2 linked regions of the Anolis sagrei genome follow. The protein of the gene in region 2 interacts with the protein of the main gene of each other region in a pairwise test. Links are inferred from orthologs where the notes say so. Each region holds a gene or a part of one and is shown on either strand. Other genes may lie near its edges.

Region 1 (15,889 bases), on a different chromosome or scaffold from region 2:
TAGTCTCTTCCGCTGTTTTCCAGTGTTTTTATGAGTGATGGTCACTCATTGCCCCGATACGTGTATTATGTCCAAATTTGGTGGCAATTTGTCCAGTGGTTTTTGAGTTATGCTAATCCCACAAATGAACATTACATTTTTATTTATATAGATTATTATATTGTTGCTTACTTTATTATAAATGACCATTAAATTGTACAAATGCATTAACAATATTTCTTGTTACAAGTGCAATTGGGCCAGGGGGCAGGGATAGATGGAGTGCTACCGCTGTAGTCCCTTGTCTCCCTGTTAACTCACCACCTTTTGCTTCACTTGCTCACTATCCATGCCTTTCTCTGCTTGCTCCCCTGGCTCTTTCTCTTGCAGCTGAGGCAAACATGGAAGTGTCAGGCACTTTTACTCATGGGAAAGCAAAGGTCCAGTGCAATTGATTCTTGGATCTCCATCCTCCACCACCATCTCACCTCCTCCCTGCTCCTGTGGGCCAATGATGGCCAGGGCCATCACCTCCTCACCCATCTACTCCACTGGGGATGCTGCCTCAACTTCATGTACCCAGCTGGTAACATCATCAGTGTTGCCTGGGTGGAGGAAAAGCATCTAGGGGAGTTTCTACCACCACCACCTGAGCTGTCCTGTATGTCCCCAGCCTATGTGGGCCTCTTCCGCTTGCTGTGCTACATATGTCCGTTTCAGTTTACCAAAGGAAGCAAGATTTCTCATTGTCCAGGAGCAGAGAGAAGTCTGGATAAAACCCAGCACATCTGTATTTACATTTTTTTCTTCAGAGATTTTTTTTACATATAGTAAAAAGTAAGAAAATATAAAAGTTGACAAACCTGTGCAAAAATTTTGACTAGCCTTGTGTTGTGTGAGGTCCTGATCTGCAGGTATTCCCTCCACCATTGTTTAGCATACACAAGAAATAAGCGCTCTTTTTCTGCTGTTTTCTGGCGTTCTAAAGCAAGCTGTAATTTAAGAAAACCAACAGGCACTGTGCTATACTGTTCAGTATTCTAAAAATTAAATAATTTAATTTAGTAGGAAAAACATATTACATATTATCAAGGAAACCCATTAATGTAACATTCAATGCAGAGTCTTAAAATACACAGGAGACAATTTCATTATCAGCAGATCTTTCTGAAGTAGTCTCTGAGGTAAAGTCTTTTACTTTCATTGCTAACAAAAGTGGTTACAAAGGTATTTATTCTTAAATAAAACATTTAAGAGACACTGTAGCATCTCTGAGCCTTATGTAGAGTCCAAGTGAGATTTAATCAAAAAATGTGTAACTGCAGCTACATTGTATGTCTCAAAGAACAGTTGCAACTGGCACACTAGTTTTATCTATGCAAAGTCACTGCTCATCAGTGCTCAAACCTGGAAATCAAGGATCAGAGTTCAATCCAGAGGTGTATCCCACTCCAGAGAGGCAGTGATATTATGGTGAATGGTATCAAAAACTGCTGCGGCCCAGTAGAACTTACAGGGATGTATTTCCCTTGTTCAGTTCTCTGCAAAAGCCATCCACCAGACAACCAAGACTCTGTCTCATAATCAGGTCTAAAACCAGACTAAAATAGATATAGATACTCTGCCTCACCCAGAAGCAACTAGAACCGGAAGGTCACCAGATACTGTACAGCCTTATCCGAAAATGGAATGGTACGGATAGGCCAATATTTATTCAGAAATGTGAGATCTAAGAAATACTTCTTGAGTAACAGCTTAACTGCAGCCTTTAGTCAGGATGGAAACGTCCCTTTTTTCAGTGAAGCATTTGCCATTCCCTTTATCCATTTGACCAATTCTACATAAGTCAGACAAGGATCCAATACACAGTGATGGCTCTCATTCCATGCATCTGATTAGAACAGTGGTTCTCAATCTTTGGGTCCCCAGATGTGTTGGCCCTCAACTGGTAAACTGGATGGGATTTCTGGGAGTTGTAGGCCAAAACACCTGGGGACCCACAGGCTGAGAACTACTGAATTGGAACTTGTTTCAAAATATGATCCAGGATTCCCTTACATCTTTTCATGCAGAATAATATGACTATGTCACTGAATTTTTAAAATAAAGGCAGTTATATTACTGTTCTCTGCCCTAATATATTTACTTGCTTTGGTAATTGTTTCAGTTAGTCCAGAGTTAATCCACTGCACAGCTCATGTTTCCTTTCCAGTTTTTCTATATCATTTTGGTTTTCAGCACATGTTAGCAATTTTACAATATAGAATCACTGTATTACATTCCAGGAAAAACTTCATTTGAGAATATTTTACCTCTACACAATCCCACCACATGTGCAGTTACATTTCTCACAACCTCTCCAAGGTTTTGAAGATAGGGTTTCATATATGATGAGGAAACTCACAGAGCAGATGGTGGGTGTCCAGAGAGAAAGAAGGCAAGGAGATTTCCTCCATGTAAACAAAATTCAGTTACTTAATTTTGAATTTAATCTAAAGAAATAATTCAAGGGTAGCTTAAGAAAGGAAGCTGAATTAAAACGGAAGATGAAAAATCCGAGACATTTTCATTCAATCTGACTTAAGAAAAAGCCTGTTTAAAACATATTTGTACGTATGTCTTTGTGAGATCAACAATAAGCAAGATAATGGATAAGATGTTTTAAAATGTATTGTTACAGACTACTTCTTGATACTGCAAGCAACAATATTTTGGAGTACAGATACTCCATCTGTAACAGTTTCACACTTGGAAAAAATGCCTGGTGACAACTATCTTCTTCAAAATTGCAGTTACAGTTGCAATAATATTAAATTGCAAGTATCAGGACAATATAATATTTCCTTCCCAAAAAGCCAAATTTTGTTTCAGATTTACCCTTCCAGTATGGGATACATCAAGCAATGAGGATTAAGGATAGCTCTTTTTCAGTTAAAAGATATTACATAAAATTTAGAATGGTTTTTTTTTTTTTGTCGTGTCAGGAGCGACTTGAGAAACTGGAAGTCGCTTCTGGTATGAGAGAATTGGCTGTCTGCGAGGACATTGCCCAAGGGACGCCTAGATGATTTGATGTTTTTATCATCATTGTGGGAGGCTTCTCTCATGTCCCCGCATGAAGAGCTGGAGCTGATAGAGGGAGCTCATCCACCTCTCCCCGGATTTGAACCTGCAACCTGTCGGTCTTCAGTCCTGCCGGCACAGGGGTTTAACCCACTGCGCCACCGGGGGTGCATTAGGATGGTAATGTTGATGAAGAACAGAATGAGATGAACAGGCAGAAAATGCAACCAATGTTGCATAAATTTTGTTCTCTTAATTCTCCAAACTAAATACATTGATACATGAACCACAGTAGTGCTCAGTTATTCCATGTTTCCTATTCATTGCAATACCACATTTTTAAGAATAAAGAGGGAGACAACTGTATTTCAGCAGAACTTTTACAAACAACAACAAACTCAATTTTTACTGTTTCAAATGGTATAAAAGCAATCTGATTTGCATTTTAAAATATATAAATTTATATGTTAACCTTGATTGTGTCCCGTCCCCCCCAAATGTTAAGACTTACTTGAGTACTGACTATTTCCTGAGAAAGTATCTTATTTAGTTTTGGGTACATTTCGAGTCTGATGTTCAGTACTCCCACTGAAACCTTTGATTCTGAACCTTTGGACCAAAAGATATTTGTTTGATAAGAATATAAATAGACATTTTAATAGGTCAGTTTTTCAGAAACCACACAAAAGACATACATTTTCTCTTCTAATTAAATTTAGGAAATATAAAATCTTTGCGGTAACCACATTCCCTTATAGTCTTATCTGAATTACAAAGAATACTGTGCCCGTTTTCCAAAGCAGAATTTTAAATTATATGAGATTAATATGTATTACTAGAAAGTAATGAAAGGAAAGAACCTGGCTTTATTGTGAAAACAACAGGCTTTTGAGGGGAAAAATGTTGGAAGTTGTATCCTGGGTGACATTGTTTCCTCTTTCAAGAGTGATAAACTTTACAGCTCAAATTGCTTAATAAACAGTTTGAAACCAACTTTCAATTTTACTATTCCCATCTTCCTTTTTTAATTTAATCTGGTGTTATTCTTTATATTTTACTATATTTTACAGTAGTATATTTTTAAAGCTTACCTACACCCAGAAGTTCAACAGCAATATTTGTTATCTTATTCTCTGCACTCAGGACTGACCGCCACTCTAAGAAATAAGAGGCAACTAATGTTGTCTCACCAGCTGTATCTGTTTTGATCAAGACAATGTGCACTGGATCACATATTGAAAGCATAGTGGTTGCATCCACCATTTTACTTCCTTCACCTGTCAATATATCAAAACAGATGAAGAGTCTAGTCAAATCCCCAGACATATTGCCATTACACTTTTGAAAAATGACTTAAAGAGTCCAAATTATGACATACGTATCAAATTTACAACAAAAAACAACCAGAGCTTGTTAATATTGCCTAAGAAAAGCAACTATGACATGGAGAAATTTTGAGTAGAAAAACAGCTGAAGGGGAAAGAAGTAAGCACTTCACTTCCTACTGAATCCTTTCTATCCAAAATTACAGCACTGATTTTGTCTATTAAGCAACAGGTTCCATGGATTTTCATAAGTTTCAACAACAACAACAACAACTTTGTTCTTATATCTTGCCTCCATCTCCCCGAAGGGACTTTGGGCAGGCTACATAGGGACCAAACCCAATATAAACAAAGTTACAAAATGACAAAATTAAAAATATCAATCAAATATATAAAAAATAAAACCAATAAAATCTAAAACACCATAAGACATAACTCAACAGCAAGCAACCGATGGCCAAGAAAAGTGAGCATGTGCAGGTTTGGGACTAATAGGGCAGGAAAGAGCTAGTGCAACATAATCTGTAAAGCCGGGACTGGGAATAAAGTGCTGGACATCCTACCAAAAGATGAGGGCTAGACAGATTTGATGTGTGTGTGTGTGTGTGTGTGTGTACATATGAGAGGATATGGCTGCAGTTTCATGAAGAGTCAGAAGGTGGAGTCTATTTTTTATGAAGGCAAATACATGAGATACACATCAACTGCTGCAAGTATACAATCTGCTGTTACATCCATACAAATGTGAACCAAGAATATTCATCCAATACCAGCACAAGGTGAACCCCCCCCCCCCTTTTGTCCATTTTTGGGAGACAGGCTATTCCTGTAAAATCCTCAAATAATCCTATACAAACAAACTCACAAGATTATGGGAATATGTTCTTTATATTTACACATTTTTGGGCTTATTATTAGTGTATTATCTCATGATGAGAATAACATGATAGTGACGAAACAAGTAACAAAAAGTGTGTGTAGAAGGAACATGGCCATACAGCCCAGAAAACTCACAGCAATCCAGTGCAGAAGCTTATTTTTTGTAAACTAAGAGGTTTTGAATTGAAGTTTACATTTTTTTCAAAATGAGGTCTACAAAGCAGCCATGACTAATTAATTTTGCCAATGTGGATAACTGCTATGAAACCTTTATGTGTGTGATAATACTTCTATATGCAAAAGGAAAAAGAAAAGAAAAAAGAATGCTAATATCCCCAAAGGAGAACTCAATATTATTCCTGTCACACTTCAGATTTTCTTACCTAAGGTATCCTTATATACTTCAAGTAGAAAGCCATCACTGAAATCCGGTTCACAGGCACATGGCACAGGTTTAGAGCGGAAACGTTGATTTCGAAAATGTAAACAGAGGGTGAAAGTAGAACAAGTTTGACCAGGTAAAGGCTCAGGTTCCTGCAGATGTTCCAGAAAAGCTTTCCCACTCAGAACCTGAAGGTAAAGATACCTCCGTGTTGGGTCAATATTTGCTGCAAAGTGTACCAATAAATAGGAAATAATCACAGTTTTGTACAAAATATATTTTGCATTAATAGTTAGGACTAGTCAGTAACTGTACTTTAAAGTATTTACATAAAAGTCATTGTGAATATTAAAATTCCTTTCCTATTTGATCCTGATAGCATACATTAAAGAGAAATAATTTTATTGGATTTGACTGAAATCCCAGATTCCCCATTCATGTATTACAGGATCATCAGTTAAGATCAACTCCACTATGAAAACATATCACCAGAGAAATGGCAACACTGCTGACAAAAGAATACATCAAAGCAGAAGGAAGATACTTCTAACCTACTTTAAAAATAATATAAATTATGTCTTACTTTGCACCTTATAAAGCATCTAAAAAACAGTAAATGAAATGTTGTTAAAAATAGCATATAACCTACTTTTTTTCAGCACCGCTGGTTGTGTATCAATGAAGTGTGTTGAAGGTTTTGGAGGTGAACTTATTTCACCACTGTTCATATCCTAGGATTATATAGAGATAAGCACACATTCAACACACCCTTGCAACCATGTCTTTTTATCTCAATAGAACACATTCTGAAAATGCCAAAGCAGTCTTCAATAGTTCACATTATACAATCTCTAAGATACACTGTTATGAAATAAAATTATGAAAATAGCATCTAGTCTATAAGACAGTTCCTCGGGCTACTTGTCATTGTTTAGGCAGTATGATTACGTGAATAATACGTAGAAATGGTAACACCTCACATTGAATGATGCTGTTCACAGAAGTAGTATGGCTGTAATCTACGTACTTGTATTGGCTGTTGCCAATGTAATTTTTCATACCTCTAATCTACAGGGTGTTTCAAAATGATGAACCCAATTTCAAAACAGTTTATTTCACAACAGCAACATGTTACAATTACACAAAAGGTTACATGCATTTTAATAAAATATCTAGTTTTATTAATCATTTTGATCCAGAAACAAATGTAAAAAATAATTCCACAAATTGAGACTATCTCATTAAGCCTTATGTTGCAGTACTGTCATCTTGCAAATGACTGATTCTTTTGTGTGTGTGCTAAGAGAGGCATCTAGCAGTAATAATTTGAAACTCAAGATAGAATTTATGGGCATTTTGTGGTTGCAGAAATATAGCAATTTCAAATTAATTCCATTTTTTAAAAACACCTTACATAAAATGGTTAGCCAGCAAGGGGTTTAACCTGCATCCAGAGCTGCAATATCCCTAGATAGGATAGGAAGATAACTCACAAAGTGATGTTCCCTTTTCTGTCAAACTTAAAATGACCGTATATGTTTCCGTCACCAGACATGATTTTAAGTATTGCATGTGCGATTGTCTTTGAATTGAGTGACTTCTGATGTCAAATAAGTGCTTTCTTCTTATAACCTAATTCTATTTCAGGTTCGTCCCTCATGCAGCAACATATCCCTTGAGTGTATGGGTGAGTTAGAGGATGGAGGAAGATTCAGAAGTGAAGGCAATTGACTGGAGCAGATAGATCCAGCTCACCCTAACTTCCAGCAGATGACAACAAAGAAATTTACCTACGCAGTTTTGATCTATTAAAATTAACACTGCTCCACAATGAATCCAATCATAAATATTTTTGTACCAGGTTATCTGTATTATACACGAGAGCCCGGTGGTGCAGTGGGTTAAACCACTGAGCTGCTGAACTTGCTGACTGAAAAGTTGGTGGTTCAAATCCAGGGAATGGAGTGAGCTTCTGCTATTACCCCCAGCTTCTGCCAATCTAGCAGTTCGAAAACATGCAAATGTGAGTAGATCAATAGATACCGCTCCAGTTGGAAGGTAACGGTGCTCCAAGCAGTCATGCTGGCCACATGACCTTGGAGGTGTCTACAGACATCAGCTCTTCGGTTTAGAAAAGGAGATGAGTACCAACCCTCCCGAGTCGAACATGACTAGACCTTTACCTTATCTGTATTATGTAATCAATATCTGGTACCATTTCAGATGTTTTCTTCAAACTACTCACAGTTACAAAGCTGAGTTCTTTCATAACATCATTAATGATTCCTCTCCGTATCAGGGCTTTCATTAGATGTTGTTCTGAGAGTTGCTGGTGTTCAGGTGCCAGTTCTTCACGAATAGTCTCAGCAAGGACTTCTCGGACCCTGCTGTGGACATCCATCTATGAAGAAATAATAATACTAATAATAATATAGGTATATGTTTATATTACATGTAATATTATTAATAACATTACAATACAATGGTATAGTACAATATAGTAATAGTTAATATTGATATTGTACTATGCTAATAATATAATATATTGGACGTATGTATATCCTGTAAGCCGCTCTGAGTCCCCTTTGGGGTGAGAAGGGCAGCATATAAATGTTGTAAATAAATAAATAAGTACAGTGGGCCCTTGGTATCTGCTGGGGTTTGGTTCCAGGTCCTCCTGCGGATACCAAAAGTCATGGATGCTCAAGTCCCATGATATACAGTGGCATAATAAAGTGGTGTTCCTTATACAAAATGACAAAATCAAGGTCGGCGGTTTGGATTTTTTTGGAGGCGGGGGGAGTGTTTTTAAGCCATGGATGTTGGGAATCGAAGAATGCAGAATATGTGGGTATGAAGGTCCAACTGAATAAACGAAGGCAGGCAAACCAGCCTTGGTGTATAGTTGACTATTTCAGACCAAGCCAATTTCAGATTTAAACCAAAGATGGAGAGTATCAGGTTCGATTATTCCTGCTCATAAGCCATAGTTCAGTGGGATTCCCACTTTTGCTTATTTGCTTATTTTTTAATTCCACTGTTATTACGAGGGGTATTTTTTTAAGTAAGATCCGTTTTATTGTAGACACTAGTAGTTTGCGCGCATACCGCAACTAGCGCGTGCGTTGTGTACCGGCATGCCTCAGGAACAACTGTGCTCAGTTTCCGCTCTGTAGCTAACCTGTACGGTTCTGTTCTGTGCTTTAAAAATGTTTAAGACTATCAACTCACCCTCCGCATGTGAGGTTCGCTCAGTGATACGGTTTTTGCCAGCAAGGAACCTGCCTGTTGCAGAAATCCATCGACAGATTTGTGAAGTGTACGGTGATACTGTTATGAGTGAAAGCAAAGTGCGTAAGTGGGTACGACAATTCAAAGATGGCCGTGACAACGTCCATGATGAGGACCGTTCAGGTTCCTTGCTGACAAAAACCGTATCACATACGGCTGAGCACAGTTGTTCCCGAGGCATGCACGTGCTCATTGCGGTATGAGCGCGAACTACTAGTATCTACAACAAAACGGACCTTACTTTTAAAATACCCCTCGTATATACACCCAGCCTCTGCATCCATTGATTCAACCATCTGTAGCAGCCATCCCCAAACTGTGGACTTCCTATGGTGCAAGCATGGGCCAACTTGGGCCCTCCAGGTGTTTTGGACTTCAACTCTCAGAATTCCTAACAGCCTCAGCTTAAGCGGCTGAGGGGGGGGGGGGAGGAAAGGGCCTGAGGCTGTTAGGAATTCTGGGAGTTGAAGTCCAAAACACCTGGAGGGCCCAAGTTGGCCCAAGCCTGCTATAAAGGCTTTCAATGGGCATTTTCTCTTCCTCCTCCTCCTTCTCACCTTGGTCAGCTGCTGGTGAATGATCTGCTTGAGCTCTGAGGCTTTCCCGGGAGCCAAGGCCATGGCTCAGCAACTGTCCCAATTCCTTAGACTAAGTGGACACCAGACAGGCCTTCATCCCAGGCACCTCCAACCACAACACCACACTCCTCCGTTCTCCCGCGCGCTCAAACCGCCTATCCCGTCTCCCCCCTCCCAAGAGCACCCATTGGCTGGATCTCCAGCCAATCAGCAAACTCGGCCCCTCCCACAGCTAGCCATGCGCTTGCTCGGGCCTCAACCGCCTTTCAAAAAATAAAAGGTGTCTATCACAATTGCCTGATAGCAAGGCAATCGAGTCTTGTTAGGCAATTAATACCCGTACGGCAGAACAACAACAACAACAACAACAAAAATGTAATTTTCCTTCAAAGGAACTGTCGCTCGCCCGTTAACTGGCTGTCAGTAAGCGCAGATGGGGACAGGCACTGTGCAAGACACCTCTCCGAGGCGGTGAACAAGAAAGGCCCCTTGCTCTCGCTACCAAAGGGAACTCTTGTGTAGGCCTGCGGTGCGTCCAGTCAGCGTCTTGGATAGAATGTTCGTTCCCTGCGAGGGCCGCGCGCCCGCTGACTTCAAAGGCTGCACGCTGCTAATGGTAATGGACAGTTCCTTCCTTGCGCGGCGCGAGACGGCCGGAGAGAGCGCCCAACCCCCCGTTGCCCGGGCAACGCGCGAGCGGGCGCGTGGCATTGAGTCAGGCGTGGGAGGAGGAGGAGGAGGAGGAGGGAGGCAGTAGGAGGGGTCTCTACCTAAAATATGGAGGGAGGGAGTGTGTGTGTGCCCCTTTAAGGGCGCATCTACACTGTAGAATTTAAAGCAGTTTGACATTGCTATGGGATGACTGTAGAATTTAATGCAGTTTGACACCATGGCTCAGTGCTATGGGATGATGGGAGCTATAATTTTGGTGAGACTCCTGCAGTGGTTAGACTGGTTCTCAACCTGGGGTCCCCAGATGTTTTTGGCCTACAATTCCCAGAAATCCTAACAGCTGGTAAACTGGCTGGGATTTCTGGGAGTTGTAGGCCAAAAACATCTAGGGACCCACAGGTTGAGAACCACTGAGAGGATACCTCTTGTCTTTTGCTGAATGTAGCATTTGCGGGGTTTTCTTGCGAGGTCTATAGATAGTTTGTAGGTATATCTTCGAAGGCTTTCATGGCCGGAATCACTGGGTTGTTGTTTGTTTAGGGCTATAAAGCCCTAAACGACTCCGGCCCTGTTTACCTCTCCGAACGTATTCTCCCCTATGAATCATCAAGATTATTAAGATCGTCTGAAGAGGCCCTGCTCTCCGTCCCACCGGCCTCGCAAGCGCATCTGGTGGGGACGAGGGACAGGGCCTTCTCGGTGGTGGCCCCTCAACTCTGGAACTCTCTCACACTGGAGATCAGAACCGCCCCTTCTATCCTGACATTTAGGAAACAGGTGAAGACGTGGTTATGGAGACAGGCATTCGACTAGTGAGCCAATACCCTGAGATATGGATGGAGGATGATGAACAACGATTTTAGTGTGACGACTGACCATTGTAGTTATTGAATGTAATTGCTGTTTTAATGTTTTACTGTAATACGAATTATGATGTTTTATTGACTGTATGTGATATTATGGTCGGAAACCGGCCTGATTCCCTCAAGAGAGGTGAGAAGGTCGGTATACAAAACTTTTAAATAAATAAATAAATAAATAAATAAAATTTTCAGGCTGTATGGCCATGTTCCAGAAGCATTGTCTCCTGACGTTTCGCCCACATCTATGGCAGGTATCCTCAGAGGTTGTGAGGTTTGTTGGAAACTAGGAAAATTGGGTTTATATATCTGTGAAATGTCCAGGGTTGGGAGAAAGAACTCTTGTAGGGTGAGGCAGCATAACTTTCTTTTTTCAAAACTTAATAAAACCCATTGTATGAATCGGAATTTTTAAAATATATAATGTAGGCGAATACCTAAAGTTTTGTTTTACATAGTTTTGAAGATCAAATTAGGTAGGTGACGTCCTCCATTCTCCATACACCGAGTAAACCAAATCTTGTAGGGTCCTTGGATGGTTCACATAAACACGGGATTTCAAAAAAACCCATAGAAAAAAATCACAAGGGGCCAAATCTGGAGAACGGGCCGGCCACTCCAAATCCGCTCGAAAAGTAGGCCTCAATGGCAAAAGCACATTCCTCACTGCTCCAACGCATGATGGCGACTGAACTGTGTCAGGACAAAACTTTATACTCCCGCCTCTCAAACGAGACCACTAGCGCTCCGCTACGTCTTCAACCGACTGAATGGCACGCATTTTTTTAAAAGTATCTGTGGAAGGTCCAGGGTGGGAGAAAGAGCTCTTGTCTGTTGGAGGTAGGTGTGAATTTTCAATTGGCCACCTTGATTAGCATTTAATGGCCTAGAAGTTTCAAGTTTCAGGATTTATTTATTTCATATCAAAAGCATTGCATAAATTAGTGTAAAACTGATAAAAATAGAAGGAGCACAGGCAGCTAAACATCTTTTGACCAAAAACAGGCAACAGCAATGGCATTGTCTGTAGCCTCCAACAATTCTTCCTCTGTACATGAGGCAGGGCATAGTGGACAAGCATACAGGAGTGGAGTTGTCTGTAAGTTTCAGGAGAAACATCAGGAGAGAATGCTTATGGAACATGGCCATACAGCCCGAAAAACTTACAACAACCCAGTTTGTAGGTTTTCTTTATCAGGGTTCCTATGCGGTCAGTGGTTCCCTTGATGTATGTCAAGAATACATATGGACAAAAGGGATCCTCTCACCTCTGCAGGAGTCTACTATGCAGCTGTGGACAAGTCTACATAGGGACCACCAAATGCACCATTGCCCAAACACGAATAAAGGAACATGAAAGGCACTGTAGACGAATTCAACCAGAGAAGTCAGCCATAGCAGAGCACCTGATGAACCAACCTGGACACAGAATATCATTTGAGAACACAGAAATGCTGGACCACTCTAACAACTACCATGTCAGACTACACAGCGAAACCATTGAAATCCAAAAGCATGTGGACAATTTCAACAGAAAGGACGAAACCATGAAAATGAACAAAATCTGGCTACCAGTATTTTTTTAAAAGAACTCTAAAATCAGGACAGTAAATAAAGAGGAACACTCAAACAAGGGAATTCTAGACAGGAAACAATCAGCCAGCTAACACCTCCCAACAAAGGATTCCCTCAGGCAGCTAGCAGCCAGGCTTTGACGCTACAAGGCCATTAAATGATAATCAAGCTTCCAGTTGCAACATTCACACTTTCCTCAAACAGAGAAGAGTTCTTTCTCCAACCATGGACATTCCACAGATATATAAACCCCACTGTCCTAATTTCCAACAGACCTCACAACCTCTGAGGACACCTGCCATAGATGTGGGCAAAATGTCAGGGGAGAATGCTTCTGGAACATGGTAATACAACCTGAAAAGCTCACCACAACCTATGTGTAAGATTGCTAGCAAAACTATGTATATAATAATTGCTGAAGAATCCTGTCTCTTTGTGTTAAAAAGGATTTGATACCCTTTCGCCTCAGTTCGATTAAAAGGACAATTATCTGAACAAGCAGATACCATTTTTAAAATTGGTAAATAGCAGCCACATTACTTTTTTCTCCAAAACATTATAAAATATACTAATACAAACTGCTTTGAGTCTTCTTTGTGAGGTGTAAATAAACATAGTAATAATAATAATCTGAATGTGTACATTTTGCTATAAATTACTTTGGCATTACTTTACTATAGTATTGTGGTTTGACAGCTGAAATGTGTTAATACCACTACTGCTAATAATAATAACCTGCCCTATCTCCCCAAGGGGACTCAATAGAAATGGTTAATAATGTTCAGTGTTCAACTAACATGTTTTTTTAAATTTGAAAATCAGTCATTTTTTTCAGATGATGTAACTCGCATGCATCTGTTATGTCATTTCAGCCCGCGGTATCGGTGGGGAATGTTGGCCAGCTGGCTGTAGATCTAGTTATTTCCACCCTTGACATGTCTAAAGTTGGGTACTTTTATACTGATTGTCTTGTGCCAATGATTGGAAATAATCCATATGCAACAACAGAAGAGAATGCAACAGAGCTGTGTATAAATGCTGAAGGTAAGTACATTGAATGTAATGTTGGGTGCTAACTTGGGCTTGTTGTGTCTTCTCCAGAGAAACACCCTTCTTTTTAGAATGAATTTGAGCATTTTAACTCCTTGCTGTATAGAAATAGTATATGAGAAATAGTATCTGAAGTGAATTATCCCTGCTTTCCAGCACTAATTGATGTGGATATTACAGTTTTCAGCAACATTTCTCATTCAGATTGTATATATTAGCACACAATTCTTCCAAAGGGATAGTACATAATTGCTTATACTATTAATACCGAGAATCATACATTAAAATGGGAAGTGTATAAACATGCTTTTCTCCCTGTATAGTACAGATATTCCCTGTATAGTACAGATATTCAAATGGTCTTAATTGGATATTCCATGAAGTCTCAATAAAATACAGCTTAAGTATCCCTTATTCGAGCCCCCGGTGGCGCAGTGGGTTAAAGTGCTGAGCTGCTGACCTAAAGGTTGCAGGTTCGAATCCGGGGGGTGGTGTAAGCTTCCGCTGTCAGCCCCAGCTTCTGCCAACCTAGCAGTTCGAAAACATGCAAATGTGAGTAGATCAATAGGTACCGCTCTGGCAGGAAAGTAACGGCGTGCTATACAGTCATGCCAGCCACATGACCTTGGAGGTGTCTACGGACAACGCTGGCTCTTCGGCTTAAAAATAGAGATGAGCACCACTCCCCAGAGTCGGACACGACTGGACTTAATATTAGGGGAAAACCTTTACCTTTACCTTTTTTACAGGTATTCCAAAATTTTAAAAACCAGAAATATTTCTTGTCCCAAGCATTTTGGATAATGGATACACAATCTGCATTATCTAACCAGTAACAACATCATGAGTTTGTTCAGACTGTCGAGGTTAATTTGTAATCAGAAAGAAAGAAAAAGAAGAAGGTTTTATTCTTCTGCAAAACAATTCCATTTAGGACTTCATGTCAGGGGGAAACCTTTACCTTTACCTATCCCTTATTCAAACATTCAAAATCAAAAGTACTCTAGAATCTAAAATTATCCACATGGGTAACTGAGATGGTGACATCTTTGCTTTCTGCTGGCTCAGTGTACACTAACATAAAATTGCTGTCAGGCCAAAGTGTGTAAGGTGTATATGAAACATACATGAATATTGTATTTAAACTTGGGCTTCATTTCCAAGATATCTCAAGTGTATGCAACTATTCCAAAACCTGAAATCAAAACATTTCTGATTCCAAGCATATTCGGATAATATTTAGATAAGGAATAATCAGTCTGTATTTAAACTTTAAATACATTGGTAAAATTCAGTCAAGACATAACTGTAAAACTCTTACTGGTTCATCTCATATTCCTAAAGACAAATGTAAGTTAAGGTTGATCTTGATATACTGTTTATATGCTTTTCTTAGTGTATACAGCTCCTTCTAAAGAACTGGTGGTTTTGCAACTCAGATCTCCATTCATCAAGGTATGAGTGTTTTCTTTGTATTATTACATTCCAGAGAAAAACTAGGTATCTTGTTTTCTTCTGCTGGGTAATTGAGATTGTCTTAATTAGGATTCACCCTACTCTATGTTTAAATACCTTTAAAAACATTCCAGAAAGATCTGTCAACTTATCCACGGTTCATATCAAAATTCATAATTCTGGCCACAAAACTTGTCCTCAGCTTATATATGAGATCAACTTATAAATGAGTGAGTACATATAGTACATTTTGATATTAATTGACACTTACTCCTGAGCAAATGTATAATAAGATTAAGGCTTTAAGTTGTTTTACATTTTCAGAATTCGTGATTTACACAACTGCCTTAAGATGTTCTTCCAAAAATAAATTAAGTGTGACAAGTTGATCTAAGTGCCTTTTCTGTATTTATTATCCATTCCAGTTTTGGGGGGATGGGAGTGGGGAGAATTATTTAAGGTGTGAAATTATACAGGGACGATGTAAGAATGCCTCACTTTTAAAAAATCCTATATGTTTACATATAATGTTATTGCAACACTATACAGGACAGCCATGATGAATATGTGCAGCAGATTTCACTTTTTGCTTTGTTAAGAGGGTAATAGAACTGATGTTCCTGTGATGTCTCTTACACCATGAGCTGTGGCTCATTTAGTGCATGAATGTCTTTTTTGGCATTGGCTTGTACAAATTACCTCCCCATCTATATGTTCATGTGTTTGTGTGTGTGTCAGGAGCAGCTTGAGAAACTACACGTTGCTTCTGGTGTGAGAGAA
Region 2 (16,397 bases):
ACAATGTTGTTCTATTGGAAAATAAATAGTAACAGGTGGAAAAAAAAGAAAACACAGAGGGAAATAAGGTACTAAATATGTGGGTGGCCTATGAGCTGAGTTGGGCAGGGAGCTATTTTGCTACTTCAGGATGGGATCATGCATTATGCTCCACCCACAGAGACTCACATCCTTCCCTCCCATTGGAAAGTAAGTAATAATGCTATTGGAAAAAAAAGTAATAATGGTAAAAAGGGAAACACAGAGGGAAACAAGCTACTAAATGTGTAGGTGGCCTATGAGCCGAGTTTGGCAGGGAGCTATTTTGCTACTGCACGATGGCTTGTTTTCCCCTCCTTAGACTTCTGCTATGGGAAGAGATTCCATACCTGCCGCAGGAAGATCCCGTACAATATTTGGCTGTTCTAGAAGTGAGCAGCAGAGTTGATCCTTGAACTCTGTTGTCTTTAACGCTTTCAGAAAAGGAGAGGGAAGTGTTATAATTGACTCTGGTGTTTTATAATCTGTAACGGAACACGACGAAAGAACCAATACTTTCAAATTCGTATTCTGCAGGCATCCAAATACCTAGAATAAAGTTACAAATTTCAGGGCGAGTGTGACAAAATGCGAAAAGAGTGACTATACTGAGGCTATTTCACGCTAGCAGCTGATGCTAGTCACATTCCTTCCATGTGAAATCATCTCTAATGCCTCTGTGCAGGAAGCAGCCATGGAGAAGTGGCATTCACACAGGAAGCCAAATCGCAGAATGAACCCTGTGCCAATGTATCCAAGAGCAAGCCTCAGTGAGGTTTATTTATTTCGTGTCAAAGCATTGCACACATAGGTATAAAACTGACAAAAATAGAGGGAGCACAAGTAGCTAAATAATTTTTGACCAAAACGGGGCAACAGAGACTACATTGTCTTTAACTTTAAACAGTTATTCCTTTGTATATGAGGCAGGGCATTGTGGGCAAGCATACAGGTGCAGAGTTGTTGGTTCTGCTCCGTAGTCGCACAAGGTGGAGGATTCTTCTAGGTAGTCATTTTGCCAGGTTATCTTTTGATCTGCCCACTTCTGAGTCTGTTCAGGGACTTCCAATTTGCCCATTCTTGGTTTCTCCTGGAGGAAGACCCTCGTGGGGGACCATCCAATTGGGATTTCCTGGTTTAGCTACCCAGAGGGATATAGCCTTGATGTTGCTGGGGGAACATTAAGAGTGGTGGTTCTCATGAAGCTTTTCCTTGCTTTGTGTCTACTAGGAGGAGGCTGATAGCCATGCAGTGGGTGGCTTTCACAGTGTTCAACTTTATTTCTCTCCCAGTTAGCAGTGAGGTCAAGGGGACTTACTTCTGGGAAGGCACGCACACATTTACTGTTAACATTTATAGAAACAAGAGTGCTGATACGTCTTAGTCTTAGAGAGCCTCCACAAGGTTCCTTTGGAGACTAAATTTCCCCTCTCAGTGCATTCACTCTCTGTAACTCACATGGTGGCAGACCCTCAGTCCACAACTGATTTTCAATGAGAAATATAACCAGGACATTGCCAACTCCAGTAACAATAGCATACATGACCCTCGCTCTATGTTACCTATGCAAAAAACTTACCACTGTCCTTCTTACCTTTTCAAGCCATTGAAATTGTTGGTCTTCAGCCACATAACAATTGCACTGGCACAATAAAACCTGGAAATTGTAGTAAAACAAATTTCGTGAATTTCTGCAATGCCTTATTAACTGGCAATATAAATGATGATAATTCTGAAGGCAGGGACAGCAAAGTGAGTGCTTTTTTGATGGCCTTTGAACTCTTCTGACTCCTCAAATCTCTTTTTTTCTTCACATGCACTATTAAAAAGGTGCCCTTACGCATTGAGTTATCATGGAGCCCCTGGTGGTGCAATGGGCTAAACCCTTGTGCCAGGAGGACTGCTGACCAAAAGGTCAGCGGTTTGAATCTGGGAGATGGGGTGAGCTCCCGTCTGTCAGCTCCAGCTTCCCATGCAGGGATATGAGAGAAGCTTCCCAAAGGATGGTAAAATATCCAGGCAGCCTTTAGGCAATGCCCTTGCACACAGCCAATTCTCGCATACCAGAAGCAACTTGCAGTTTCCCATGTTGCTCATGACACGAAAAAAATATTTAAAATTCATTGAAGGGGTTCCCTAGCAACTGAATGAATTTTATTGTTACCGTTACCATCACAGATCAGGAGTGTAAAACTTTAAAACATTAAAAACAGAGTTATTTTGAAAGTTTTAATACTAAGACCAGAGATTCAAAACAGTAAAAGCAGAAAGTCCATGATATGGATTCAATCTACATGGTTTCATATACAATGCTTATAACATCTGTGGGTATAAATAAAATAAGTTAAAACATTATCTGCTAAAATAATCCACCATTGGATTTACACCCGATCTCCTGGGCCAAATACCTGGATGGGTCCTGTATTGTATAAGACATGCAAATCCCTTTCCAATATCATGCCCAAATCAGCTTAGAAATCATTTTGAGAATGTATGTCAGGGGGGCAGCAAGTGAACTCATTTCATACATTTTATTTATATTTAAAATAAAAATTAATTCATCAAAGATTTCTGCATATGGAAAAACACAAAAAGGTATTTGGATATCTTCACTAGTGTTCTAGGTTCCTTTCTCTGGACCTTCACATTTCTGTATAACTCTTTAAAAGCCAGGAGCTAAACAAAATATACTATGTTGCCGACACTGGTCCCAAACCACATGTATGGGATTCCAACACTTAAATATGAGTGTAGACACTACAGTGCATGGCAAATAGGATCATTGGTGCATCACTTAGCAGCTTAGCTAGGGAATCATGGTCATTATTTACTAACAAATCATGGTCATTATATACTAAGCTAGCAGCAGTTACCTTAGTTACTTAAGATCTTCCAAACCCTGTTTGGGGAGAAAGGAGGTAAAAAAAGGTGGTACTTACAGTAGGATCGGAAATCAAGCGATAAAACAAACAAAAGGAATCTGCTGGAAGGAATTTGGTTGTGTTTGACGTCCTGGTCCACTCATTCCATAATTTGACAGATCCAACTACCTCCCAAGAATCCGAACTCAAAACAAAGGAAGACAAGAATGCTGCAAACAAAGCCAGATTTGATTTATGGAACATTGTTGTGTCTGGCACGTTGTTATCAAACACATTTGCAATGTAGCCATTTAGTGATACACCTCAAGTACACAGTTTACATTATTTGAGGAGATATCTGAAGCTGATGGAAGTGACTCTACAACAGGCACGGGCAAACCCAGGCCTGGATGTGGCCGTTTGGACTCTTTTCTCAGGCCCCCCTCTCTCACACAATTCTATTCCTTCCTTCCTTCTCTCTTTTCTTTCTCCTTCCCTCCCTCTCTTCGTTACCTCCCTCTCCCCCCCCCCCCGTTCTTCCTTCCCTTCCACACTTTCAGTCTTCTTTCTCTTTTGTCTTTTCTTCCTTCCTTCCTTCCTCCCTCCCTTTCCTTTTTCTCCTTCCATCCTTTCTTCCCATCCACCCTTTTGTCCTTTCTTCCTTCTTTCTTCCATCCTCCTTACCTCCCTCCCGTAGTTTCTTACCTCCCTCCATCCTTCTTTTTCCTTCCTCCTTCCCTTCCTCCTTCCATCTTTCCCTTCCTCCCTTTTGTCTTCCTTTCCTTCCTCCTTATCTCCCTTTTTCTCCTTCCATCCTTCCCCTCTTTCCTACTTTCTCCTTCCTTCTCTCTTCCATTCCTTCTTATCTCCCTCCCTTTGTTCCTTACCTCCCCAATCCTTCTTTTTCTTTCCCCTTCCCTTCCTTCCATCCTTATTATTTATTTATTTATTTCCTGCATTTATTAACTGCCGCTCTCAGCCCTAGGGCGACTCGTGGCGGTGTACAGCACATAAAAGACAATTTACAATGAACCAAGACAACAAAACTAACATATCACTAATACACAACATCTAATTACACTAAAATAATCCGCTCCGTCTTATCGTGGAATCATAACAAATCTCGTAGTCGTAATCCATTCCAGTTGTCATTTCCAGTAACATAGCACTCAGTTGAATGCCATCTCGAAAAGCCATGTCTTCAGGCCCTTGCGAAAGGCCATAAGGGAGGGCGCCTGTCTGATGTCAGCAGGGAGGGAGTTCCACAGCCGGGGGGCCACCACCGAGAAGGCCCTCTCTCTCGTCCCCGCCAGACGTGCCTGTGAGGCAGGCGGGATCGAGAGAAGGGCCTCCCCAGATGATCTCAAGGTCCTCGTGGGCTCATAGGCCGAGATGCGGTCCGCAAGGTACTTTGGGCCGGAACCGTTTAGGGCTTTGTAGGATAACACCAGCACCTTAAATTGGGCCCTTCCCTTCGTCCTTCCATCTTTCTCTTCCTCCCTTTTGTCTTCCCTCCTTCTCTCTTTCCTTCCTCCTTACCTCCCTTTCTCCTTCCATCCCTTCCACCCTTTTGTCCTTCCTTCCCTCTTTCCTTTCTCCTTCCTTCCTTCTCTTCCCTTCCTTCTTACCTCCCTCCCTTAGTTCCTTACCTCCCTCTTTCTTCTTCCATCATTCTCTCTTTCCTTCCATCCTTTTGTCCTTCCCTCTTCATTTCCTATTTCCATCATTTGCTTCCTTTTGTCCTTCCTTACCTCCCTCCCCCTCCCTCTTTCTCTTTCCAACCTTCCCTCCCTCCATTTCCTCCTTCTTTCCTTCTCTCTTTCCTTCGTTCTTTCTTTCCATCCATCACTGGGCAGCCAGTCCTCTTAACGGAGTGCTAACATGCAGCCCCCAATTCAGAAAGTTTGCCCCTGCCTGCTCTACAAGGGGTTAACAGTGGGTTAAACAATCAAAGCAAGCAAAGAAATGAATACTATTGCTTACCTACTGCGTTCTGACCCACAGCCAAGATGAACTTTGAGCAAGGAAGCTGCTCTTCCAGAGAGGCCTTCAGTCCCGGATTCCAGACAAGGTGAACCTCCCTGAATAAAATAAAATACTATGTGAAATCATGCTAGGTGCATAAGATATATATGGAGCAGAAATAAATTTTGTGTTTAGATTGGGGCACAAACTCCAAGATATCTCATTTTTTGTACTCATATGCAAATGCAAGTATTGCAAAAACCCAAAACCCAAACATTTCAGGCAAAGGATACTCAACTTGTAAAAGTAGCATTGACAAAAGTTCTAGATATGCATAGAGATGGAGAGGAGGCTGCAATGATTCAGCATGCACTCTGCACATGCTCTAGGGCTGCAGATTTCAGAAAGGTGGGGCTAGATGTCCTCCTTAGGTGCATCTACACCTGGCCTGGGTGGACTTGGGCGCTTAAGCGGCTGAGGGGGAAAAGGAAGGGGCCTGAGGCTGTTAGGAATGCTGGGAGTTGGAGTCCAAAAGACCTGGAGGGCCCAAGTCCACCCAGACCTGATCTACACGGTTTGACCCCACTTGGACTGCCCTGGCTCAATGCAATGGGTTCCTGGGAGCTCTAGTTTCACAAGGTCTTTACCTTCCTTTGGGAAAGAGTGCTGGAACTTCTCCCAACTGCAATCCAAATGATCCGACAGCAGAGTCAGCCTGCATCAAACCTACAGTGTGGGTGGATGCAATCCTCCCCCCTCCCCAATCCCGGTCTACCTTTTCTCCTGGAGGGCGAGGCGGATCTGGCGGTCCTCCGGCGTCTCCTGGCGTTGGGCGGCAGCCTCCTCTTCCTCCTCCTCTTCCTCGTCCAGCCCCGCGCGGGACCGGGTGGCCACCACTTCCCCGAAGAACGTGGCCATCGCGTGCACGCTCTCTCTCTCTCGGTCTCCCTCTTGTATTTACGCAGCAGAGCAGCGTCTCCAATGCAGGGGCGCTTCCGGGAGAGCGGGCATGCGCAGAAGGAGCCCTTGAAGCCAGCCGCGATGCTTCCATCTTGCCCTCAGTTGCGAAACCAGATGCTGGTGTGTTGCTATGAGTTTGGCGGGCTGTATGGCCATGTTTCAGAAGCATTCTCTCCTGACGTTTCGCCCACATCTATGACAGGCATCCTCAGAGGTTGTGAGGTCTGTTGGAAACTAGGCAAGTGGGGTTTATTCATATATCTGTGGAATAATGTCCAGGGTGAGAGAAAGAACTCATGTCTGCTTGAGGCAGGTGTGGATGTTGCAATTGGCCACCTTGAGTAGTATTGAATGGCCTTGCAGCTTCAAAGTCTGGCTGCTTCCTGCCTGGAGGAATCTTTCGAATCATAGAATCATAGAGTTGGAAGATCCCTCATGGGCCATCCAGTCCTACCCCCTGCCAAGAAGCAGGAAAATTGCATTTAAAGCAATGCCATCCTTCCTCTGTTTAAAAGCTTTCAAAGAAGGAGCCTCTACCACACTCCGGGCAGAGAGTTCCACTGCTGAACGGCGCTGACAGTCAGGAAGTTCTTCAGGTGGAATCTCCTTTCCTGTAGTTTGAAGCCATTGTTCTGCATCCCAGTCTCCAGGGCAGCAGAAACAAACTTGCTCCCTCCTCCCTGTGACTTCCTCTCACATATTTATACATAGCTATAATGGCTCCTCTCAGCCTTCTCTTCTTCAGGCTAAACATGCCCAACTCTTTAAGCCACTCCTCATAGGGCTTGTTCTCCAGACCCTTGATCATTTTAGTCCCCTGCCTCTGGACATATTCCAGCTTGTCAATATCTCTCTTCAATTGAGGCAGGTGTGAATGTTGCAATTGGCCACCTTGATTAGCATTGAATGACCTTGCAGCTTCAAAGTCTGGCTGCTTCCTGTCTGGGGGAATCCTTTGTTGGGAGGTGTTAGCTGGCCGATTGTTTCCTGTGTGGCATTCCCCTGAGTGATAGTATGATAGCTGGGTCTGGAAGTGCCGAGCATTACGCAAATTCTGCAATGGCGGTTGTGAATAAGGAAAGGGGATAATATATTTCGTAGTTGCATTTGGTGAAGGGATAGAAAGGAGGGGAGGGTTAGGGTTTAGGTTTATGATTATGGTTTGGTTAGGGTTAGGGTTAGGGTTAAGGTAAAGGTTCAGGTACGGGTTAGGGTTTTACCATTAAAGAGCTCTTACATTCCTTTTATAATATTAGTGTTCCGTTCTGCGTTGTGTAAACAGCGCTCCCGAAGGGGCAGAGCAGAAACAGTGTAACTCTCAGGACTTCTGGACCCAGCTTTCATACTATAACCTTCCCCTGTTTTTTGAATGTTGTTCATTCGTTCAGTCGCTTCTGACTCTTTGTGACCTCATGGACCAGCCCACGCCAGAGCTCCCTGTCAGCTGTCGCCACCCCCAGCTCCTTCAAGGTCAAGCCAGTCACTTCAAGGATACCATCCATCCATCTTGCCCTTGGTCGGCCCCTCTTCCTTTTTCCTTGCATTTTCCTCAACATCATTGTCTTCTCCATGTGTTTCTGTCTTCTCATGATGTGCCTAAGTGGAGTATTTGTCCCTGTTGAACTTCATTTTGTTTAATTTTGGCCCATCTTTCTCTACTTGGCCACGAGCGACAGCCTATGATGATGATGTTTCCATCCAATCACAACCTTAGAATGCTGTGGGTAGGAGGGCTAGGATAGAATATAAACCAGAAGTTTTATTATCATATTTATTTATGCCCTGCTTTATCTCCTCAAAGGGGACTCAAAGTGGCGTGTCTGTTAGATAGTTAGTGCAAATTATGGAATTGAAGTATTTTTAGGAGCTGAGAAGGAGTTCAGGGAGAAGTATTACTTTCCTTTAAACTGAGGTAATAATATTGAACATATTTCTTTTAGGCATTATACCACAAATCTCACTGTTTTCATTTTTTTCTATCTCTATGTTTTCATATAATTAATGCCTTACCACACTGAACTCTGCAACCAATATGTCTGTATACTGGTCACCATGAATCCCAAGTACCAAACACAGAGTGGGGTTTAAAGGTAAAAAGACATGTTGAGTGATGAGACTCTGGAGTTGGAGGTTCAATTACAGTGTTATATGTTTTTGTGTATATGTACATGTTTATTTATAATGTCAGAAGCGAATTGAGAATACAGTTATAATGTACAGGAAAACCACAACCAAAGTAAAAAAAAACTTGGCAGTGTACTAAATTTCCTTTGACCAGAAGCTGGCTACTTGGAGTGCCTCTGGTGTCGCGGTGAGAAGGTCCTCCATTGTGCATGTGGCAGGGCTCAGACTGCACTGTAATAAGTACTCTGTGGTTTGCTCTTCTCCACACTCGCATCTTGTGGACTCCACTCTGTAACCCCATTTCTATATGTGTATATGTGCATAACAAAGGGTGTCATTTTAGCACAATATTAATAACATCAACAACATAGACATTAATTGATGGCACAATTATGAAAATAATACATTGGAAGGTAAAAAATGAGCAAGTTTCCTGATATGTACTCAGAGATATATTCTTCATTTCAGTACACTGCAAGCTAACCAGTTTGGGAAAACTTCAAAATGTGTCTGTCTGCAGCTTGAACTGCTTCTACAGGTCGAACACATTTCCCCCTCTCCTGCAGGCCTCCAATACATTGCTAAATCTTTTATGGAGGATGTGGTGGTCCTACTCTCCAGGGCAGCCAAAAACAGGCCTCCTCCCTATGACTTCCCCTCACATATTGAAACATGGCCATTATGTCTCCTCTCAACCTTCTCTTCTACAGGCTAAACATGCCCAGCTCTTTAAGCCACTCCTCATAGGGCTTGTTCTCCAGACCCTTGATCATTTTATTCACCCTCCTCTGAACACATTCCAGCTTGTCAACATCTCCATGGAGTAAATATTTCTTGCACAAGAAAGATAAATAGCAAAAAAGAAGTTGTATGTACTACAATGACAGAGCCACACAGAAGGTATAAGTGAAAGTTGTGTAGTTTATTTCAACATATCAAGCACAAACAAAATTTCCCCTAATGAGGGAACATCACAAGGAATGTAGTTAAAAATCTGGAAACATTTACAATGAAAGTTAGCCCAGACTGGCACCACCACTAAATATTTTAAGGCTGTATATATATATATATAATCTTTTTATATATATAGCAGTACTTACCACTTGGAACTACTTCAGGCCAGAAAAGAAAGGCTTAGTACTGGCTGCGAATCTACATAAAATATTGCAAATCTTTTAAAAATGGTGTAAAAATAGGAAGACTATCAACAGAGTCAGAGGATGCAGTGGCAAACCCTTACTAATCCTGACCATTAACCTTTAAATGTACCTATGAGCAAAGAACATACACAAGGTGCCTTCACACAATCACAGGATCAGCCCTATAGAGGGGAAGGGGGCATTCTGTGATACTAGAAAGCAGTTGTCCTTTGATACAAAGCACAGGGAAGCTGAGCCAACTAGTTACAAGTGATCACCCAAAAGAAACATACAGAAGCAGTTGCTTGCACCACCTACCCATAAAGCTGCCCTGGATGCATCAGTGGACAAAACCTTCCTATGCCACAGTATATGCCCAGTGAACCCCGGTACTGTAGTGATTTTTGTGGCATACAAAATAAACTATATACAGAAGTGCTCATATACGGTCATTCTCTTTTCCCCTTCTGGGAATAATGGTACATTTCAGAGGCATTCCTTTAAATATTGTTTGCATTCCTTTATACAGTGCTTGTGTTTGTGTGTTTTAATCAATGTAAAAACTTTGAGACTAATATCCCCGAACTGATTCCTTTTCCGACCATCTGGCAGGCCATTGTTGCCTATGAATGGGAGGCTTCGTGTTTCCTAAAAGGACAGGTCATTAAGAAATCATGCATATTTACAACTTGGTGGAATGCAATGTGGTGTGCTGTTCATTGAGATGTGGTGTGAGAGAGCACTGGTGAGAAGATCCAAGGAGAAGCTGTGCTATCTATACCCAGTTGGCTTAATTTTCTATCTGGCTGCCCAATGTTCCTTTCTAGAAGGCACCTGGATCAATGTCCAAGTGCCCTCCTCGTTCTGTAGAACAGCTACAAAACAAACCACTGGGAACCGTATTACAAAACCAAGTAGATGTTGGTAGTGTTAGAAGGGGCACAAATACTTGTTAGTAACATTTAATTGCATCAGAAAACGACCAGACATAGAAAAACAAAAATTGCACAATTAAAGCTACATTTGGCTTTAGCATTAAGGCCCATACAGGTAAAGAGGTCCTTGTAGATGTACATGTAAAAAAGGCAATGACATTAAATTTGAAGAACACAACTTTGCAGGTTCCCTGGTTCACCCTGTTCTCTCTTCCTTTTGCCCCTGGTTGCTGTGTCGGTAGTAAAGTGCTTAATGCCTCGGTGGGCTCCTTGCCTTTCAGTCTCCACGCTCCTGCAGCTGGTCATTCTTATTGCTGCCCAAATGCCACTGTGATGTTTATTTGAAGACATAATTAATGAAGAGCTGACACGTGAGAAAGATGCACAGAAGGAACCAACAGCGAGAGTCCATGAAGAGGTTTTCTGATGAGGTCCTCCTGAAGAGGGACTTTTTGTTCAGAGCAGTGAGGTTTCTGCAAGAATGAGTTAAGCAATGGTTATTCAGAAAGGAAAATAGTACCTACAGAGGCAGATTCTATAAAGAAAAAAAATCCAAATCAGTTCAGGATTTGAGCAAAGGAAACATGGGAAAGAATATATTCTGGCCATACTTACTGTTTCTCTGATAATAAAAACGAGATTTACAAAGATAATGTAACTCTCCTTTTCTGCTGACCAAAAGGTCAGCGGTTCAGATCTGGCGAGTGGGGACAGCTCCTCCTGTCTGTCAGTTCCAACTCCTCATGCAGGTAAATGAGAGAAGCCTCCCATATGATGGTAAAACATCTGGGCATCCCTGGGCAACATCCTTGCAGACGGCCAATTCTCTCACACCAGAAGCAACTTGCAGTTTCTCAAGTTGCTCCTGACATGAAAAAAAAAAATCCCTGACTTTCAAGAATACCATGACTTTTCAGGCATCTTCGTTTCCCAACTTCTCCCCCTCCCCCCCAAAAAGTGGTTTGTTTATTTATTTACGATATTTCTATCCTGCCTTTCTCAAGCCTTTCTCAAGGCAGCTTACAAATTGGCAGCAACTGGATGCCATAACAATCCACAATATACAATTAAAACATTTAAAACAACATTATAAAATCCATACAAAAACCATTAAAACATATAATAACCAAAAAGGAAGGCATAGGAAGGTTTCTGTTAATCTCATGGAAAATTTCTAGATGTCCACACTCCTCCTCCCTTTCCATTTTCTAAAACCACTGCACCACCAAAAATTATGTCTTCAGTTTTTGTTTGTTCCATAATCATTTGATCTGAAGGAAGATTACTGTTCTGCCCCCCCCTTTCCAGTTTCCTAAACTTTAAACTTCAGCTTTTAAAACCTTAAACATGGAATATGTTGCTGTCAATAGACTCCTGGCACCCTAACTAACTAACTAACAGAACCTATTCTAATTAAGGGGATAACCGAGGCTTGGAAAAGAAAATGCCTCTGTGGGGGCATGATAATAACCTTTGTTCATTTTACTGACTTGACTTTCTGGATTGGGCTAATGACTATCATTGTACTTTGGTTCGTGCTTAGTAAAACTTATGCATCAACCAGTTTCCTGCCTGGCACTCTTGAAGAGTGAGTCCCTGAGAGCAGCATACAATACTGCTGTAACTATGCACAGTTATTTAAAGTTTGATAAGGTTACTGCATTAATAAGGAAAGGTCATACCTGTGTATATCCTGTTGAGCTCTCTGGAGGGATAAGACAGCAGTGTGAATTTCCTTCAAATGATCCGATTCTTTCCCACACTGGGTACACGGGCTTTCAAAACCTATGGTGAAATGGTGAGATAACAGCAGGATTATATGTGTGTTTTGTGAATGTGAAGGTTCTAGTGTTTTACATGTTTTGCAGTTTTCTTCTTTCTAGAGGAGAGGAGAAATCACTCCAACATATATGTAAAAAGGTTTCTTTTAAGTGGTACATTGATTACCTATCTGCTTACTTATTTGTTGTTAACTGCCATCAAATTGACTTTGATCTATGGTGATCCTATGAATGAGAGACCTTCTATGACCCCTTTTGTGCAGTACCAGCTAGCATTAGCTATGGTGTCACTGCTATTATCTCTGAGAGATCGTTCACCAATGTTATCCTGCCCCACTACTACTACTGCCAAGTCTCTTTGTCAATTAAGACCCTACCAGCAGCACTGTTGCTGTCAGCATGATCTATTATTTCACAGGAGCATGTAGTCCCACCAGTACAGAAAACAGTGCCACAGTGGGCTTATTTATAGCGCTGCTATAAGTCAATGTTGATTTGAAGGCAATTAACAACTGCCAATTCTCAAATTGCAATATGGGTATGTAGGTGGGTAGACAGGTTGATATAAATGGATAAAAGGGCTTTCATAGATCTACAACTTGAGCAATTTGGGAAATAATGACAATGGAACTCCAACATAGAATCAGAATCATAGAGTTGGAAGAGACCTCGTGGGCCATCCAGTCTAACTCCTGCCAAGAAGCAGGAAAATCACCTTTAAAACACCCTTGACAGATGACCATCAGGCCTCTGTTTAAATGCCTCCAAAGGAGCCTCCACTACACTCTGGGGCAGTGAGTTCCACTGCTGAACAGCTCTCACAGTTAGGAAGTTCTTCCTAATGTTCAGGTGGAATCTCCTTTCCTGTAGTTTGGAGCCACTGTCATAGTCAGAAATCAAGCATGCTCCCTCTTCCCTATGACTTCCCCTCACATATTTATACTTGCCACTTGTCATCTGTCCTAGAAACATATCTGAAATGCATTTGTTTCTAGGATGGATAGCAGTGGCAAGTTCCTGAAAGATGTGGGTAAACAAAGAGAGCACACTGGATCAGAACATTGTAACACATTTACCATCATCATCTGAAAGTTCCTGCATGGACTCAGGAGTTGAACAGCTACTTTCAGTGTTCTGGCTGTTATTGGACGGTTGATTACTGGCTTTACGGCGTCGACAATCATTTGCAGACCTCTGAATGGACCAATGCAGAAAATATGTCAATTTACCAGAGATTTGGGTGAGACAAAAAAATATCATCCAAGTATTTATAACTACCTGGACTTTAGTGGGAGCTGCTGAGGTTCATCACCTCAAGGATGAAAGAAGCTGGGTGGAAATCCTCATAAATAATCCCACACATTTCTATGGAAATGACCTGTTCAAGGCCTTCATATCTCTTCCCCTTTAAATATTCTAACAGACATTTCAAATCTGGATATTAGCATTACAGCTATATAAGTAAATTGCGCATTGAATTGTTCTCTTGTCTTTTCCACCCTCAGAATCCTCCAATGTGATATAAATATCATTTCGATTCTACATTTCATTTCATTTTACAGATAAAGAACTACCACCAAAGCCAGTCAAATTGGATATCTCATATCAGGAATCTGAACTCAGCATCCCTAAGCCCCAACAGTCTGTCCATTGGCCTGCTGGTTAAACCACTTCAACTGAAACACTATAATAATCTAAATTAACCCTAACAATTAACAATTTGAAAGGAAAATTGTTGCAGGTTAGAAGGAGAATATCATACGAACTAACCATATTTGCAGACAAAAACATTGGAAAACAGACAGGAATAGTAATTGAACTGCCAAGTCATGGGACTAATGAATCTGTAAGTGGGCTGCCACCTTCCCAAACCTGGCTCATGAAGAATGAATTGCAGGCCACAGGCTGCAAATTGGCTTACTACCATTCAGAAAACAGGCATAAAAGGATGTTATATGTATCCAAACACAGTATATACTCAAGTATAAGCTGACCCAAATATAAGTCGAGACACATAATTTTACCACAAAAAGCTGGGAAAACTTACTGACTTGAGCTTAGGGTGGGATATGCAGCAGATACTGGTAAAATTCAAAATAAAATAGATACCAATAAAATTACATTAATTCAGGCATATAGCTTCGCCTCTCAGTACAGCAACCCAGCTGGGTTCCTGTGCTGAGAGGAGAGGCTGCATGCCTTCCTCTCGTCCTCTCTTTGCACAGTTGCTGTGCCGGAGGGGAGGAGGCATGCACCTGGTAGAAGCCCTGCAAAGGGCTTCTTTCAGTCCCATGCCTTCCTGCCAAGACCCTCACTCTAGTATAAGCCAAGCTTTTCAGCATGAAAAATGTGCTGAAAAACTAGGCTGATACTCGATTATATACAATAGTATGGAAAATATAACTTTTCTCAATGTTACCTTGTGTCGGACTTTGTTGCTGATGTGCATGTTTTTGTGAGCTGACATTCGATTGGGTAAGTGCCTCTGCATGGTTTGAAGTATCCCGTCCTTTTCATACTGGGCAATGTCATTCAGCGGGTCCCAGGGCCTTAAACTTTTCAAAGGAAAAAAGCACATGAAAAAAGCTACCAAATTTACAAGAAATCATGTATACCATGCTTGCAAGCTAGCTTTTACCAGTGTTTGTACCAGGCAATGTGTATCTATAGGATGTTCGAATTCAAAAAGCTGCATGTGGCTGTAGCACAGCATGTTTCCTCCTGATCTAAATAGAGAACTTTTCACTATTACACATTCCAGAATCACTCACTCTTCATATTTGTAATGCCATTCATTGGTGGCAGAATCATGCCAGAAGAGGAGTGGCTTCCACTCATTTCCGTTTTCCTTCCGTTCCCGGGCTGCACTCCTCTGTTCCTCTTCCAACACAAACTTCTCTTGAGTTGCTTTGTTCTGGTCCCCTTTGCCGATGGCACTCGTCACGTGCTGCCAGAGTCTATCAAAACAGCAAAATAGGCGTCCATAGTTGAAACAGTGATGGGGTTCAAGTGATGGGGTAGAACTATTTTATAATGGAACGGGAAGAGGCTTAACACCAATATTAAATTAAAAATGGTTCCCAGAAGTACTCAAGAGATGATATTAATTAACATGAATGAGCAACATTCTTACAGTTCAGGGATTCCACCTCCCTTTCAGCCTTCTTTCATTACAGGTATGACATTATGGCAGATTTAAACTCTCCCACCACTGTGATCATGGTCTAGTCAGGACCACTGTGTCACAAATATCTTTTGCAAAATGGAATCTATCAAAATCAATCACTACTTTGCAATATAAATGGCTAGAGCAGGGAACAAGGAAGTTCCCTATCATAGCTTACATATGTGTATATTTATGGAATTAAAATTTCCAAACACTCACAGTAGGGACCATCTAGTTCCCACCTGCTGGTTCTGAAATACAAAAGTTGAAATACTAGCTACACATTTAAAGATCTGTCTTCTTTGGTTCTTGGGATGAATCGGAAGGAGGTTGCACCATTTAGACTCCCTTATCAGCTGTCTCACTGGAGCCGAGGTGGCGCATTGTGTTAAAACCTTGTGCTGGGTGAACTGCTGACCTGAATGTCGGCTGGTTGAATCTGTGAGATGGGGTGAGCTCCCTTCTGTCAGCTCCAGCTTCCTATGTCAGAACATGAGAGAAGCCTCCCACGGGATGGTAAAACATCCAGGCATCCCCTGGGCAACATCCTTGCAGATGGCCAATTCTCTCACACCAGAAATGACTTGAAGTTTCTCAAGTCGCTTCTGACACAATTTAAAAAAAGCTCTCTTGTTACTATTAAGGGACTCTTACTAAAGTCCTGGACATTTGTGAGTTACTTCTTCCTTTGCTTTAATTTCTCAGACTTCCATTGGCAGGTTTCTACCTTTTTGCCCACTCGCTTACCTCTCAGATTCAAACTCTGTTTGCTCTTCAAACAGCACAATGTGACGCTTAAGTCTCTGCTTTCGCACTTCATTGGTTGGGTTCCAGAAAATCTCTGTGCTGACATTTTTCAGGTCATTTATATATACTTCTCCATCCTGTAAAGGAACAAAAGAACCAAGATTTAACATTAGCACAAGACAGCAGAATATCTGCTCAAGCCCTTCAAGGTGTAAATGAAAGAAGGACTTGATTCTCTTGTGATGCACCATTCTTCCTTTCACCCACTTTTTCTTCTATTTCACCAACTTCACTACTGAAATTCTACATTGTAACAATTTTAGAGCAGAAAGCTATCTTATGTGCTTCTTCTTTTACAAACTCTCAAATAGCAGGTAGGTTAACCCAGGTTCCTCAAGAACTAAGTGTCCAGTGTGCTCCAGCGGTTAGGAATGTAATGATTCAGGTTCATATTCCCACTGAGCTGTGAAGTACACTGAGTAACCACAAGCCAGCTGCCTGCTCTTAGACTATTGTAAATCAAGGGGTTGTTGAGCTGATAAAATGTGGAAGGGGAAAGAACTATGAGCTCTGCCCTGAAGTCCTTCAAGTATGACAACATACACTAAACAGAATTTTGAAACTATTTTAATAGTAATAGATTCCCCAAGCAACCAACCAACCTATTTATTGATTTCTCACTCTTCCCCTAGAACTGGGAC

What was found.
Region 1: the proteins of PSMG1 (region 2) and PSMG2 interact in binary tests that used the Homo sapiens proteins (3 or more experiments, as listed by UniProt). The link is inferred for Anolis sagrei from reciprocal best matches to the Homo sapiens genes PSMG1 and PSMG2.

The regions. Positions count from the first base shown.
Region 1 is NC_090024.1:66,279,503-66,295,391, forward strand, and holds the start of PSMG2 (proteasome assembly chaperone 2), read left to right. Parts: upstream 1-9,978; 5' UTR 9,979-10,053; coding exon 10,054-10,113; intron 10,114-13,476; coding exon 13,477-13,648; intron 13,649-15,050; coding exon 15,051-15,109; intron 15,110-15,889. Other genes in the region: CEP76 (centrosomal protein of 76 kDa), read right to left, coding at 843-971, 3,554-3,651, 4,134-4,319, 5,630-5,854, 6,278-6,359, 7,874-8,029, 9,477-9,539. UniProt on the Homo sapiens protein: Chaperone protein which promotes assembly of the 20S proteasome as part of a heterodimer with PSMG1.
Region 2 is NC_090021.1:246,353,910-246,370,306, forward strand, and holds the start of PSMG1 (proteasome assembly chaperone 1), read right to left. Parts: upstream 5,837-16,397; 5' UTR 5,763-5,836; coding exon 5,620-5,762; intron 4,961-5,619; coding exon 4,863-4,960; intron 3,110-4,862; coding exon 2,958-3,109; intron 1,676-2,957; coding exon 1,613-1,675; intron 568-1,612; coding exon 369-567; intron 1-368. Other genes in the region: OSBPL5 (oxysterol-binding protein-related protein 5), read right to left, coding at 10,340-10,475, 11,685-11,787, 12,860-12,977, 14,203-14,338, 14,555-14,740, 15,697-15,833. UniProt on the Homo sapiens protein: Chaperone protein which promotes assembly of the 20S proteasome as part of a heterodimer with PSMG2.